Regions from separate parts of the Mus musculus genome. Here regions 2 and 3 are each reported to be linked to region 1. The links are microRNA targets in miRTarBase. Many come from high-throughput screens and were not tested one by one. Region 1 holds a microRNA gene; each other region holds the end of a gene's coding sequence.

What was found. Region 1 holds the annotated microRNA mmu-miR-3062-5p (GGAGAAUGUAGUGUUACCGUGA, at 1,304-1,325, shown strand). A microRNA usually pairs through its seed, bases 2 to 8, with sites in the 3' UTR of a target mRNA and lowers its output. Matches are read on the target gene's strand: a 7mer-m8 pairs with bases 2 to 8, a 7mer-A1 pairs with bases 2 to 7 and ends in A, and an 8mer does both.
Region 2: the mRNA of Ero1a is a reported target of mmu-miR-3062-5p. Seed matches in the 3' UTR shown: 7mer-A1 at 1,429-1,435.
Region 3: the mRNA of Acpp is a reported target of mmu-miR-3062-5p. Seed matches in the 3' UTR shown: 7mer-A1 at 1,113-1,119, 7mer-m8 at 1,118-1,124, 7mer-A1 at 1,259-1,265 and 8mer at 2,168-2,175.

What each region holds. Positions count from the first base shown.
Region 1 is chr11:68,987,757-68,991,962 of GRCm38, reverse strand. It overlaps Mir3062 (microRNA 3062), which reads left to right and starts at 1,285; the gene lies at 1,285-1,389. It overlaps Pfas (phosphoribosylformylglycinamidine synthase (FGAR amidotransferase)), which reads left to right. Exons shown (of 28, transcript NM_001159519.1): 19 at 1-107; 20 at 195-278; 21 at 470-625; 22 at 804-923; 23 at 1,145-1,290; 24 at 1,388-1,595; 25 at 1,702-1,793; 26 at 1,878-1,992; 27 at 3,273-3,596; 28 at 3,690-4,206. The coding sequence ends at 4,000.
Region 2 is chr14:45,282,512-45,286,717 of GRCm38, reverse strand. Ero1a (endoplasmic reticulum oxidoreductase 1 alpha) reads left to right here. Exons shown (of 16, transcript NM_015774.3): 16 at 630-3,631. The coding sequence ends at 690. It also overlaps a transcript of Gpr137c not described here. Among named protein-coding and RNA genes, the nearest start is that of Ero1a, 34 kb to the left of the region's middle.
Region 3 is chr9:104,287,920-104,292,125 of GRCm38, reverse strand. It overlaps Acpp (acid phosphatase, prostate), which reads left to right. Exons shown (of 11, transcript NM_207668.2): 11 at 597-3,886. The coding sequence ends at 715. Among named protein-coding and RNA genes, the nearest start is that of Dnajc13, 27 kb to the right of the region's middle.

The DNA of each region.
Region 1 (4,206 bases):
TGAGGCTATGGTGGCAGTGATGGCAGCACTGGGTGTGGCAGTAGATGGTGGCAAAGACTCCCTCAGCATGGCTGCCCGGGTCGGCACTGAGACGGTGCAGGCTCCTGGTAAGGATGAGGCCCTTGTGAGAGGGAAGAAGGACCTGTGGGCCTGGGCTGCTACCTCACTTGGTCTTATTTCTCTTTGCTCGGTAGGGTCACTGGTCATTTCAGCATATGCTGTCTGTCCAGACATCACAGCCACTGTGACCCCAGACCTCAAACATCCTGGTGGGAAAGGTATGGCTCCGTCCCCCTTGTCCTTGTGGTTCTGTTCTGAGCTTGCTCCTTGCTTTGAGGTCTACTTTATGAGTCCTGGTCCCCCTTGTCTCAGCCCTGAGGTGCACTGCTTTTTAGGGCTGGAAATTGGTAGTGTCCTACTGTGTACTGTGAGTGCTGTCTTGAGCTGCCGTCCCACTTTGCTTTCTTAGGTCATTTGCTTTATGTGCCTTTGAGCCCCGGGCAGCACCGGCTGGGAGGAACGGCTCTAGCCCAGTGTTTCTCCCAGCTTGGGGAGCACCCTCCTGATCTAGACCTTCCCGAGAACCTTGTGCGTGCCTTTCATATCACCCAGGGGCTGCTGAAAGGTGAGCGTGGCCCTGGTACGTGGGGGCGGGGGGGGGGGGGTGAACAAGTGAGTGATGTGCCTTCAGGCCAAACCCTTCTCTCCCGTGAGTGCCCGCCTTCTCACACTCCCTGGCTCTCTAGATGCTCTGGAGCCTTAGGCTTGCCCTGAGATGGCTGAATTTTTCCTTGTTCCTCCAGAATGCCGTCTTTGCTCAGGCCATGATGTCAGCGATGGGGGGCTTGTCACCTGCCTTCTAGAGATGGCCTTTGCTGGGAACTGTGGGATAGAGGTAGATGTACCTGCCCCTGGGATCCATGGTGAGTTGCTTGGGCTGTCTCCTCTACTTGTAGATTTTCTGGTATAAAGAATGTGGTATCTCTGACCCTATCTCCTGAGTCTTGGCTGAATCCTCCATTTCTATCTTCATGTTCTGAACTTTGGCCGTCTACGACCTCTCATAGTCCCTGGTGCATCTTCCATGAGCTCCTCCTCCAGAACCCATCTCACCCGAGTCATCCGGACTCACCCCTTTTTCCAGCATTGCCTGTGCTGTTTGCGGAAGAGCCCGGTCTGGTGTTGGAGGTACAGGAGGCAGATGTGGCCGGAGTACGGCAGAGGTACGAGAGTGCTGGCCTACGGTGTCTGGAACTGGGCCACACAGGCGAGGCTGGACCCCAGGCCATGGTGAGGAAGCCAGGGAGAATGTAGTGTTACCGTGAGCCTGTCAGCAAATACCACTCACGGGGACACACTTTCTCCTTCATGGGTCTCCCCACTGCAGGCCCGAATATCAGTGAATAAGGCTGTGGTAGTAGAGGAGCCTGTTGGGGAGTTAAGAGCCCTCTGGGAGGAAACAAGTTTCCAGCTGGACCTACTGCAGGCAGAGCCACGCTGTGTGATAGAGGAGAAACAGGGCCTGAAGGAGCGGACAGGGCCCAGCTACTACCTGCCGCCCACCTTTCCTGTGGCCTCTGTGCCCTGTAAACCTGGTAAGGGAGCGTGCACAGAGGCTGGGGTACTTGGATCTGCCCTTGGGAAGGCATCTGGGGTTTTAGAGTGGATAGGTAGCATTCTGCTCAGAGACACATCTTCCAGGTGGACCCGTCCCTCGAGTTGCCATCTTGCGAGAAGAGGGCAGCAATGGAGACCGAGAAATGGCTGATGCCTTTCACTTGGCAGGCTTTGAGGTAAGCCTGGTACCTAACAGAGCTGGAGATCTTGATCTTGTCTTGGCTATAAGTCTTCTAACGGTTTCCTCCCTGTCGTATTAGGTGTGGGATGTGACCATGCAAGATCTCTGCTCTGGGGCCATCAGGTTGGACACATTCCGTGGTGTGGCCTTTGTGGGCGGCTTCAGCTACGCAGACGTCCTGGGCTCTGCTAAAGGTCAGTGTGCAGTCTGGATCTGCCATTTCCACATTCCCTGCTAAAATGTCTTCGGCTGCTTCTGCCCAGACTGCAGCCAACTTGTTGCCCTCACAAGTCAGGCAGAGTGCTCTGTTTCAAGACCAGAGGCCAGCAGGAGGATGGCTGGCTTTCCTGAGCTGTACAAGCCTAGAAGGCATGCCTCATCTGAACAGTTGACTGCTCTTCAACTTGATCAGGTTGTCCTGTTCTGTGGAAAGATGGTTCAGCACAACTAGATCAAGGGAGGGCAAAGGATCAGGCTTTTTGTGCGTGAAGTCTTTTCCCTTTTTTAATGAGATACAGTTTTGTGAAGCTGCTCAAACTCAAAAGGTAGCCATCTTACTTTAGCCTTTTTTTTTAAAAGATTAATTAATTTATTTTATGTATATGAGTACACTGTCGATATCTTCAGACACACCAGAAGAGGGCATCAGACCCCATTACAGATGGTGGTGAGCCACCATGTGGTTGCTGGGATTTGAACTCAGGACCTCTGGAAGAGCAGTCAGTGCTCTTAACTGCTGTACTGTTGAGGCTTAGATAACTACATAGCATTAAAAAAATATATTTTTGCTTAGCATAGAGAAATTCATGGGCCGGGCGCATGCCTTTAATCTCAGCACTTGAGAGGTGGATTTCTGAGTTTGAGGCCAACCTGGTCTAAAAAGTGAGTTCAGGACAGCCAGGAGGGCTATGCAGAGAAACCCTGTCTCAAAAAAAAAAAAAAAAAAAGAGAGAGAGAGATTCATGGATCCTGTCAGGCTATCTGATTAAAGCAGATCAGGCTGTTTCTTTCCTCAAGGCTGTCCCAGGGTCTGAAGAGACCGATTTAGAATAGAGGGCTGTCATGTCATTCCCTTCACGCCCTGCTTTTGCTTTCTCCGGCTTTTTTTTTTTTAGATAGATTTATTTATTTATTAGATTTATTAATTTATTATATATATGTACACTGTACCTGTCTTCAGATCTCATTATGGATGGTTGTGAGCCATCATGTGGTTGCTGGGATTTGAACTCAGAACCTTTGGAAGAGCAGTCAGTGCTCTTAACCACTGAGCCATCCCTCCAGCCCCTTTATTATTATATCTATCTTCAGATGCACCAGATGAGCGCCTCAGATTTCATTACAGATAGTTGTGGTTTTGGGAATTTGAACTCAGGACCTTCGGAAGAACAGTCAGTGCTCTTAACCACTGAGCCATCATCTCTCCAGCCCTTTCTCAGGCCTTTTCTCACTCTGGCTTAACTGTTCTTCCTAGGTTGGGCAGCTGCGGTGACCTTTAATCCACAGGCCAGGGAAGAGCTGGGCCGATTCCGAAGGCGGCCGGACACCTTCAGCCTGGGCGTGTGTAATGGCTGTCAGCTGCTGGCTCTTCTGGGCTGGGTGGGAAGTGATCCCAGTGAAGAGCAAGCTGAGCCAGGCCAGGACTCCCAGCCAACACAGCCGGGCCTCCTGCTCCGCCACAATCTGTCTGGGCGGTTCGAGTCCCGATGGGCCACCGTACGTGTGGAGCCGGGGCCAGCCCTGATGCTCCGAGGGATGGAAGGCTCTGTGCTGCCCGTGTGGAGTGCTCACGGGGAAGGTCAGGCTGGGAAGGCAGGGGAGGGTTTGCAAGCTGGGGCTGGGGCTGGGCCTGAAGGAACTTGGCCTTCACTCTCTTCTCCTTCACTTCCAGGCTACATGGCATTTTCTTCTCCTGAACTCCAAGCCAAGATCGAGGCCAAGGGCCTGGTTCCTCTGCACTGGGCAGACGATGATGGGAACCCCACAGAGCAGTACCCTCTGAACCCCAATGGATCTCCAGGGGGCATAGCTGGTATCTGTTCCCAAGATGGCCGACACCTGGCACTCATGCCGCACCCTGAGCGGGCTGTAAGGCTTTGGCAGTGGGCATGGCGACCCTCTCCCTTTGATGTTCTTCCCACCTCCCCGTGGCTGCAGCTCTTCATCAATGCTAGGAACTGGACCCAGGAGGACAGCTGCTGAGGAGGCCGCATGACCACCCTGGCCCACAGCTCACCCTTTGACTCCGTTGCCTTCTTTCCCCATTGCTTTCAGGAGTATCCCATGTGATTTCCAAAAGCATCTTAGCAAGAACCAAAATGCTGGGATGACCTCAGCTGCATTGCTCATTTTAGCCTTGCCCCTGCAAGAGCTGCTTTCAGCTCTTGAGTTTAACATGGATCTTCAGC
Region 2 (4,206 bases), not on the chromosome of region 1:
TTCTGTATTTTGTATTATGTATATAATACAAATAACAAGTACATTTATGAATACCTAAAATATATAAGTATTCTGATGCTGTTATATATTTTACACTAAATATTGGTGTGCTTTAAATACCTCAGCATAGCTCTGGATATTTAAAATACACACTTATATACATATACATATATATTTTTAATACTTGAATATTAAAAGTTAGCTTGTGTTGGGCAATATTATCTTGGGTTTTCCTTGCCAGATTAAAAACTAAAGGATATAAGTAGATTTATGTACTTTTTTTTTTTAAATGTTTACCTGATGGTTTATTTATTTATTTATTTTTATTTCTTAAATTTATTTATTGTTATATGGAAGTACACTGTAGCTGTCTTCAGACACACCAGAAGAGGGCATCGGATCTCATTATGGGTGGTTGTGAGCCACCATGTGGTTGCTGGGATTTGAACTCTGGACCTTCAGGAAGAGTAGTCAGTGCTCTTAACCGCTGAGCCATCTTGCCAGCCCTTATGTACCTTTCAATTTGTTGAAATAAACTACTTTAAAATTTTTATATATTCTAAAAAATGCAGAATGATTAATAGAATTTATGAAAGACAGTTTTTACATGAAATGTTTCTTGGTTACAGGATTTCCACAAGTGTGAGAGAACTAGAGAACTTCAGGCACTTGTTACAGAATGTTCACTGAGGAGGACGGTTGGAATGTGCCTGTTTCTGCACAGGGGAATCTGAAGGGCAGAATCTCTCTGAGCACCATGGTTGCAATGACTGTCCTAAGCCAAACGTTTATATAAAGCTGCTTTTGTAAAAGAAGAGATACATTGTCTTAAGTAAATGACATTTTTAAAAATTGTGTTCATGTTTAATATTATTGTGAATAGAAGTAGTATTTTGATAATATACAAATTTTAATACTAAGCAAAAGTAAGGTCATTAAACTCCCTTATGATAAAGCTAGGTAAATATTGCCTTAGGCTCTCAAACTAGAGTTGAATTTAAGAAGGTAATGAAAGCTAAGCTAAGGTACCTGTGACAAGTGTTTGGTAATAAAATACTAAGAGGCTCAGCAGTAAACCATGGTTATCAGCCTCAGATACCAATGCTTTTTCATTTGCCTCATATACAAAGAAAATACAGACTGCCCAGTTAGATTTAAGTTTTAGAAAAGCAACCAGTTTTCCTTTCAATGTTAAGTGTGTTGAAGTTTATTAGGGCCTATTTATACTACAAGTTATTTGCTCGAAGTTCAAGTTTAACTGGGAGCCCTGTGTTTTCCTGGCAACCTTAAAATACACTGGTATGAAACATTCCTTTTAGAGTTAAATAGCTATTTTGATTGTGCTGTTTTGGTATGTTGGGAAGTAGAACAATTCAAAGGCACAGGAGATTTCTAAACATCGTAGAAAGATAAATAGATTATATATTTATTCTCATAATAGTTTCCCTAATGGAATTTTGGGGAAAATTTTATTTTTATATAATTTCATATTTACAGAAAAGTTTCAAAAACAGTTAAAAAAAAAACCAAACTGGTTTTACTCAGATTCATGGATTGTTCACATGTGTTTTAACCCCTCACCCCAGCTCAGAGTGGCGATTGAGCCCAGGACCTCAGTCATGCTGGGCTAGCCCTGCATTCATGAGCTGTGTCCTCAGGCCTTGCTTAAGCTCCTACATAGACATAGACACCCTGTTTTTATTTAAGGGTTTGAGTCATGGGCCTCATGATTTAACCCAAAATACTTCAGTGTGGTGGTCAATAATTTCCTAAAAACTATTTTTTGTTTTCTTTTTAAAGGAATATCCAAACCTTACAAATCTGAGCTGAACTACTTACTATAAGCCTTAAAATAAGGAGACATCCCACATCCCAGCCACCTGACGTTTGAATTTGGTTGCCTTTTTCGACCTGTGTAGTCACAGGCTATACAACTCATGTTTTTACGCATGAAACTCTGTTTTTCTCCACAGGATGGAGCTGTAACGTAGATAGGATGGGTTGTTAGTAGAAGCTCTACACTGAGAGCAGTATTTGATGTGGCTTAAGAATTTACATCACATGGCAATTATAAATGGCATATACCTCAAAATTATGCCCCCTTGAGGTCACATCTAATGTCTTGAGCAGTTAGGACTGGTTGAGATGTCACATAAGAAAAAGCAGGACTTACGTATGTAATGGCTAGGAATGTCACTTTACACTGTTGTGTATTTTCTCTGTCCCTAAGACTTGGTCTAGTGCCAGGCATACAGTTGGTGTCTAATATTTATTGATGGAAAGTATATGTATTTAGTATACGTTAAGTGATGGTGATGTAGCTTGTTTAGTAATGTATCCTATTTCCCCCTCCCTCTCACTTTTTCTTTTGGATCTCATAATAAAAGACATCAACCCACTAATTAGGTCAGTTTTCTTGGGGACTTAAAAGAACTAAATGATCACCACACACAAGCCAGCCCTTTTGAAACCCTCACTGCTTTCACGTGCTTTTCCCACTTGATTGGCTATGTCCTCTGTCCCTCCAAGTGAAGTCTAATACCTAATTCTAAGTTTATAGTTAACAAGCAGTTTAATTTTTAAGAAATCTTAACTTTTCCTGTACATGACACAATTGACAATCCCTATTCCTTTGTGTCCTTGTGTTTGGATTACTCCTGGGTATCTTTCTTCTGGTCTCTTCATTTAACCTAAGTATCATTCCTCAGACTTTTTGCTCTTAAGTCACTGGACCGTACTTTTGAGTAATTTCAATGCAGTAATCTCATTTTAGCTTCTCAGTCTGTCTCTCTGCTGTGCTCACTTGGCTGCCTGTTGTCGCTTCTGCATCTTCAAGGACTCAGTCACCACAAACCTACTCTATGTTTGTGTTCCTTACTTGGTTAATTTCAGAGCCGTTGCACCGTTCAAGGCTTTACAGTTCATTCCTGTATCGTCCACCTGACTATTGGTGTCTTAAGCTCTGCCGATTTTCTCTCAACATTTCTATCAGTGTTTTTCAGTTTTTATTACGATCACCAAAGGATTACCTGTCTTTTCCCATCTCTCTGTTGGCTCCTATCACCAGATTGGGCTTTCTAGAAACCTTCAGCCTAATTCCTGCTGGCAAGTTTCATGAGCTTTTTGGTGAGAGTCTCTGCTTGATATCCAAGACCCTCCTCTTGTGTTTGCCACTGTTCTGATAAGAGTGTTAAAACGTTTTCCAAAAGTCCAGAGTTGTTGGCCTTCCAAACCTTTGCAAACACAGTATTTGCATTGAGAGCCCTAGGCTTCTTTCTCATCTGGGAAATTCCATGCATTTTTGAAATCTGTGAAATTACCCCTGTCCCCTTCCTATGGTCACCACTGTAACTGCAACCTACCTCTACTGAATCACTTATTGTACTGTATATTTTATTTTATGAAGTGTCCTTTATTAGAATGTGAGCTCCTTAGGGGCAGGAAAAGAAACTATTCATTTTGGCACCTCTATAGCATAATGTTTGGCACATGAGCATTTAATAAATGTTTGTTGAATAAATTGCTTCACATGACAGCTGTTCTGACTGCAGGTACCTTCACTGCCTTTGCTGCACAGTGAGGATCAGTAGACTGGGCGTGGGGGGCAATAAAGATGAAAATAATTGAAATATCTTTGGTCTTTGGTCAGTTACGAGTGGGTTCTACTTTGGGATGAACCAATCAATACCACAGGGGTTTCTCGATGAAAGGGTAGCTAGGATTGTAGATTAGACAAACTTCAAGATTCTCAGGAGGAGGGAGATGTTATAAATCACTTGATGAGGGTTTTTCTTAGTTTAATGTTTGAGTAAGTGTCTGCCTCATAACACTGCCTTTAAGATCATGGTGCTTTATTTCAAACTGGCTATAATGTGTTACAGTCTAGATTTAATGCATTATTCATTAATTCATTTGTAATGAGATTTTTTGAAAAAAATTGAATGGATTCCATTAAGGGACATTAAGAAAACACACCTTCAAATGAAAGCACTCTGTAACAGTAGCATTTTATTATAATTTAGTGAAACAAAGAAGTACATTCATTGGCCACAGCTATACTTTTGCAACCAGTTTGAAACTGACTGTATAGCTGAGAAACACTGTTAAACAATAAAAAGGCAAATTACGAATAAAAAAAAGTCACTTTAGCTATAAATTACATTGTCCACAAAACTACAATCAGCTACAGTAAATGGTAAGAGTTTC
Region 3 (4,206 bases), not on the chromosome of region 1:
TGAGTCCACTCCATGGAGGTGAGAGGGGAGAAGAGAGTCAGGGCAGAAAGAAGGAAAGGGAGAACGGCGCGAAAGCAGTTATTATGAGATGACCTTGGAGATTCTCCAGCCAGTTTCCTTCCGTTTGTAGTAGAGAGCTGAGGCCAAATGTCAAAGGTCATGCTGAAACTAGGGGTCACCTCCTGACCCCTAGCTCTTCGGAATCCAAGGCTACTTCAGAAATTCCTCTAGAATTTACAATTAAGGCAGGCAAGCTGGATAGGATGGCCCCAACCTGTAATCCCAGCACTTGGGAGATTGGGGCAGGAGGATCACGAGTTGAAGCTAGCTCACCTTTGGCTACATAGGGAGTTCAAGGCCCCTCTGGCTATGTGAGACCCTGTCTCTGAAAACAAGCAAGTAAACAAAAACAGAAGGACAAAGAAGGCAAAAGTTATATAAACTTTTTTTTGTACATGAAATAAGCATCTTTTTAATTTTTAAATTAAGGCCCAAAGTCAACAATGATATATGATCTTCATCTTCTTTAGAGTTTTTTGTTGTGATCGTCATGCGTTCTTAACGTCCTAATTTCGCGTGTATTTCTCGGTTCGCAGTGCTGAGGGTTATCCTTGCCACTACATTTTGCCTGGTAACCGGGATCCTGGTGATACTTCTGCTTGTCCTCATCCGCCATGGGCCCTGCTGGCAGAGAGATGTGTATCGGAACATCTGAACAGACAGCTGACCTTGGGGACGTCTCTCAATGAAGCAGCACCGGCAAGAAGCTCTTCTGCCATGCAGGCTCTGTCCTGCCCATGCCCTCCCTTTAGAACTTACCTAGAGTTGGTGTGAGCTCACTGCCACGGGGGAGAGTGCAGAGCTGGCAGGTCAGTTATGTCTCCTTACCATTGAGCTGTTCACAGGGCTAAGATAGGACTCTTGCAAGGGATGCCTCTGCTCTTTTACACAGAGGTCCTGAAAGAAGAAGCCAAATTCCAACCCACCTTGTGACTATGAAGACGAAAGGGAGAGAAAGTGGGGTCAGGATTTAGGTTAGAACGCACTAGGTAACTCGGAATGTTAGACTAGAAGATCCACAGAAAAATGACTTTAGTTATGTAATATGCTTAATTCTCATTCTCTCTCTCTCTCTCTCTCGCTCACTCACTCGCAAGCAATTCAAACCCAGCACTTCATAACTGACAAATTTCTGTGTGTACATCCAACACACACATACATATATCCGTATGCAGAATGTCTTTAGGTGACGTGTTCGATTCTCAGAAACCATAGCATCATTCACTTTAAGCACAGCTCCGGTCATTTTCTCTCATTTTCGTACAGAGAAATAACTGAAAAACCCATGAGATGAGTTCACCTTCCTCACGCCCCTCACTACCTTATTTTTATGCAGTGGGTAGTACATTCACTTTAAAATTACGATATCTTATACTTAAGGGCTGTTTGTTGCTACTATGAAATGATTTTTGTTTTTACTTATTTATTTTTTACTGTCGTGCCAGACTTCAAAATCCCTGGGTCTAACACAAGCTCGGAGAGTACTCTATTTGAATTATGCCCTTAGTCCTCTCTGACTTTTATACGGTGCCAACACAGAAAGTAAAGTACCCTGTGGGGGGGGGTGACAACCTGCTGGCTTAAGTCGTATTTCTTATTCTAAAGTAGAAAACTCTAGACAAGAGGAATGCAGAAGTCACATCCAGATTTCATTTTCTGTGACCAGTTTTATTCTGCTTTTACTACAGATGAGTCAGGGCCCCATCAAACCCCTCCATGACTGGCACCACCCATGAAGTCATTAGGAAAAAAGGCCAAAATGTACTTTATAGCATGACAAACTGCTCTGGACACACAAGCATTCCACTGGTGATAAATTCGATCTCATTCTTCAGTGGGTTGCCCTACTTCCTTGGGGTTGCTTAAAGATCTCGAAATATACCTGAGTCCATGCTCACTCTCCACCCACATGTGCTCTTCTGCAGAAAAACGTAGACATTCAAGCTCCCAAGGCCACACTCAGAATTCACTTTGCAGTGCTGTCTAGATGTGGGATGCTGGGACCTTTGACCTGCTCTCCACGCAGATCCCCAGCGCATCCCTCAAGCCCCGGAAGCCCTTCTGTTAAATGCCACTCGCTCACATCTATAGTCTGTATTTTTAATACCATTCTCAGTGAGCCAAGGTCATTGAAAACAAAACTCGGAGCCCCCCTCTCATATGTGTGTATTTATGTAGCATGTGATAATGTGCACACGGGTGGGTGCTGTCTTCTCACGCATGCGCAGAGAACAAAGGATTATGTCACGTGTCCTGTTCTATTACTTTTCTTACCTTGAGAGAAGATCTCTCACTGAACCCAAAGCTACTCTGACATCCAGCAAGCCCCAGTGATCCTCCTGGCTTGTCTCCACAGCACTGGGGTTACAGGGACACAAGGGCCACACTCAGCATTTTACATAGGTGCTTGGGACTTGAACTCAAGTCCTCATGCTTGGACAACAAGGGCTCTTACCCACCTACCCATCTGCTCAATCCCCAGTTCCTACCATTGCTTCGATTACTATATGGAAAGCTCTCAGGCTCAATATCGCAGTGCCCTTTATCTTCTGTTGGTAAATACTATAAGCAGTTTTCATACACTGTGGCAGAATCCCAAGTGACAGATGAGCTATAGGAATCATGCAAAGAACACAAAGGAACTGTGGGGTGTCCCAGAAAATAAGCAACGTCAACAACAGGGCATGTGAACTCCCGATACTGATAACTACTTGGTAGATGAGACAGATGTGACCATTCCAGTTGTCATGGTGATGTTGCAAGAGCGTCACTAGAGCTGCGATCACCTCTGTTGTGATGTGTGCTCCGTGTCATTTGAGAAGCCTTTGTGGAGAATTTCCATGAAGCAGTCATTAGCGTGTTGATAGTAATTACACAAAAACACTAGTGATGCCTATACAGGAAAGCACTGAGAGAGCGAGCGCTCGAGTGCTAGGTTGTTCCGAGCTTTAGTGGCAAAGCACAGACAGAGAATTGGAGAACTTGTGAAAAAAAAAATCCCACTGCTTAAGGAATGGCGTACATGAGGCTCCGACTGGCATTCACTGGGCAGCTTTTTACACAAAAGCTGATATTCTCTTCCCTGAATTCACTTGTGTTTCCTGTCTTCCTGTCCTTTTTCTGTCTTGTTCTAATACTCTTAGCACTGATTCCTCACAGTCATGGGGGCTTCTGGGTAAATAAAAGCCAAATTATAACGGCTTTCTCTTTTAAAACCCTCTCCAAGAAACTATCCAAACAATCGTGAAATGTTGGCACCCTAGATAGGGCTAAGAGACACATATGGTCACACTCATGGTCTTAAATGGCCTACAGCCACGTTTGTAATGGAAAACTTTTTTAGGTGAGATGAATTATAATATAAAAATTTATTTAACATAATGCATGTAAAATAACATTTCAACAAAAAGTGTTCATGGAATATTTTTAAGATGAGTTTCATACTAAGTATTTAAAAATGTGATGTGATGTTTTGTTCCAAGTTGGAGTAGCCACCTTTGAGGACTTGGGAGTCACTAGTGGCTCCCATGCTGAATAGTTCTGGCCTAGGCCATTCGATGACAGCCTTTTTTTTAAAGCAGAGAGAACACATACATCCTTTATTTGTAAAATACACTTTGGGTTATTGTGAAGAAATAGACATCATCCTTAGGACTGGAATGTAGCTCACCAACAAAGTGCTTGCCTAGCATAGGTGAGCCCTGAGTTCCATCCCCAGTACCACAATAAAGTCAAGTAAAACAAACACAACAGGTCACCTTTATCCTGTGTCTTCACTGTTTTTTAATCTTTGGCCAAACTAATAAAATATTGTCTGAAATGTTTCATTTGTAAGCCTGGGTTACAGGTGTACTAGTCAGAGTTCACTAGAGGCACAAAACCTATGGGCTGTCTCCCTATATTAAGGGAATGTATTGTGATGACTTACAGTCTGTAGACCAACTAACCCAACAATGGGCAGTGTGGGTGGGAAGTCCAAGACTCTAGAAGTTGTTCAGTCCCATGAGACTAGTTGTTTCAGCTAGTCTTCTGTAGAAGTAGGTTCCAACGGATGTGCTGGCTAGTAAGTGCAAGCAGTTGAAGAAGAGTGACTCTTCCTTCTTCCAATGTCCTTATGTAGGTCCCCAGAAGAAGATATGGCCCAAA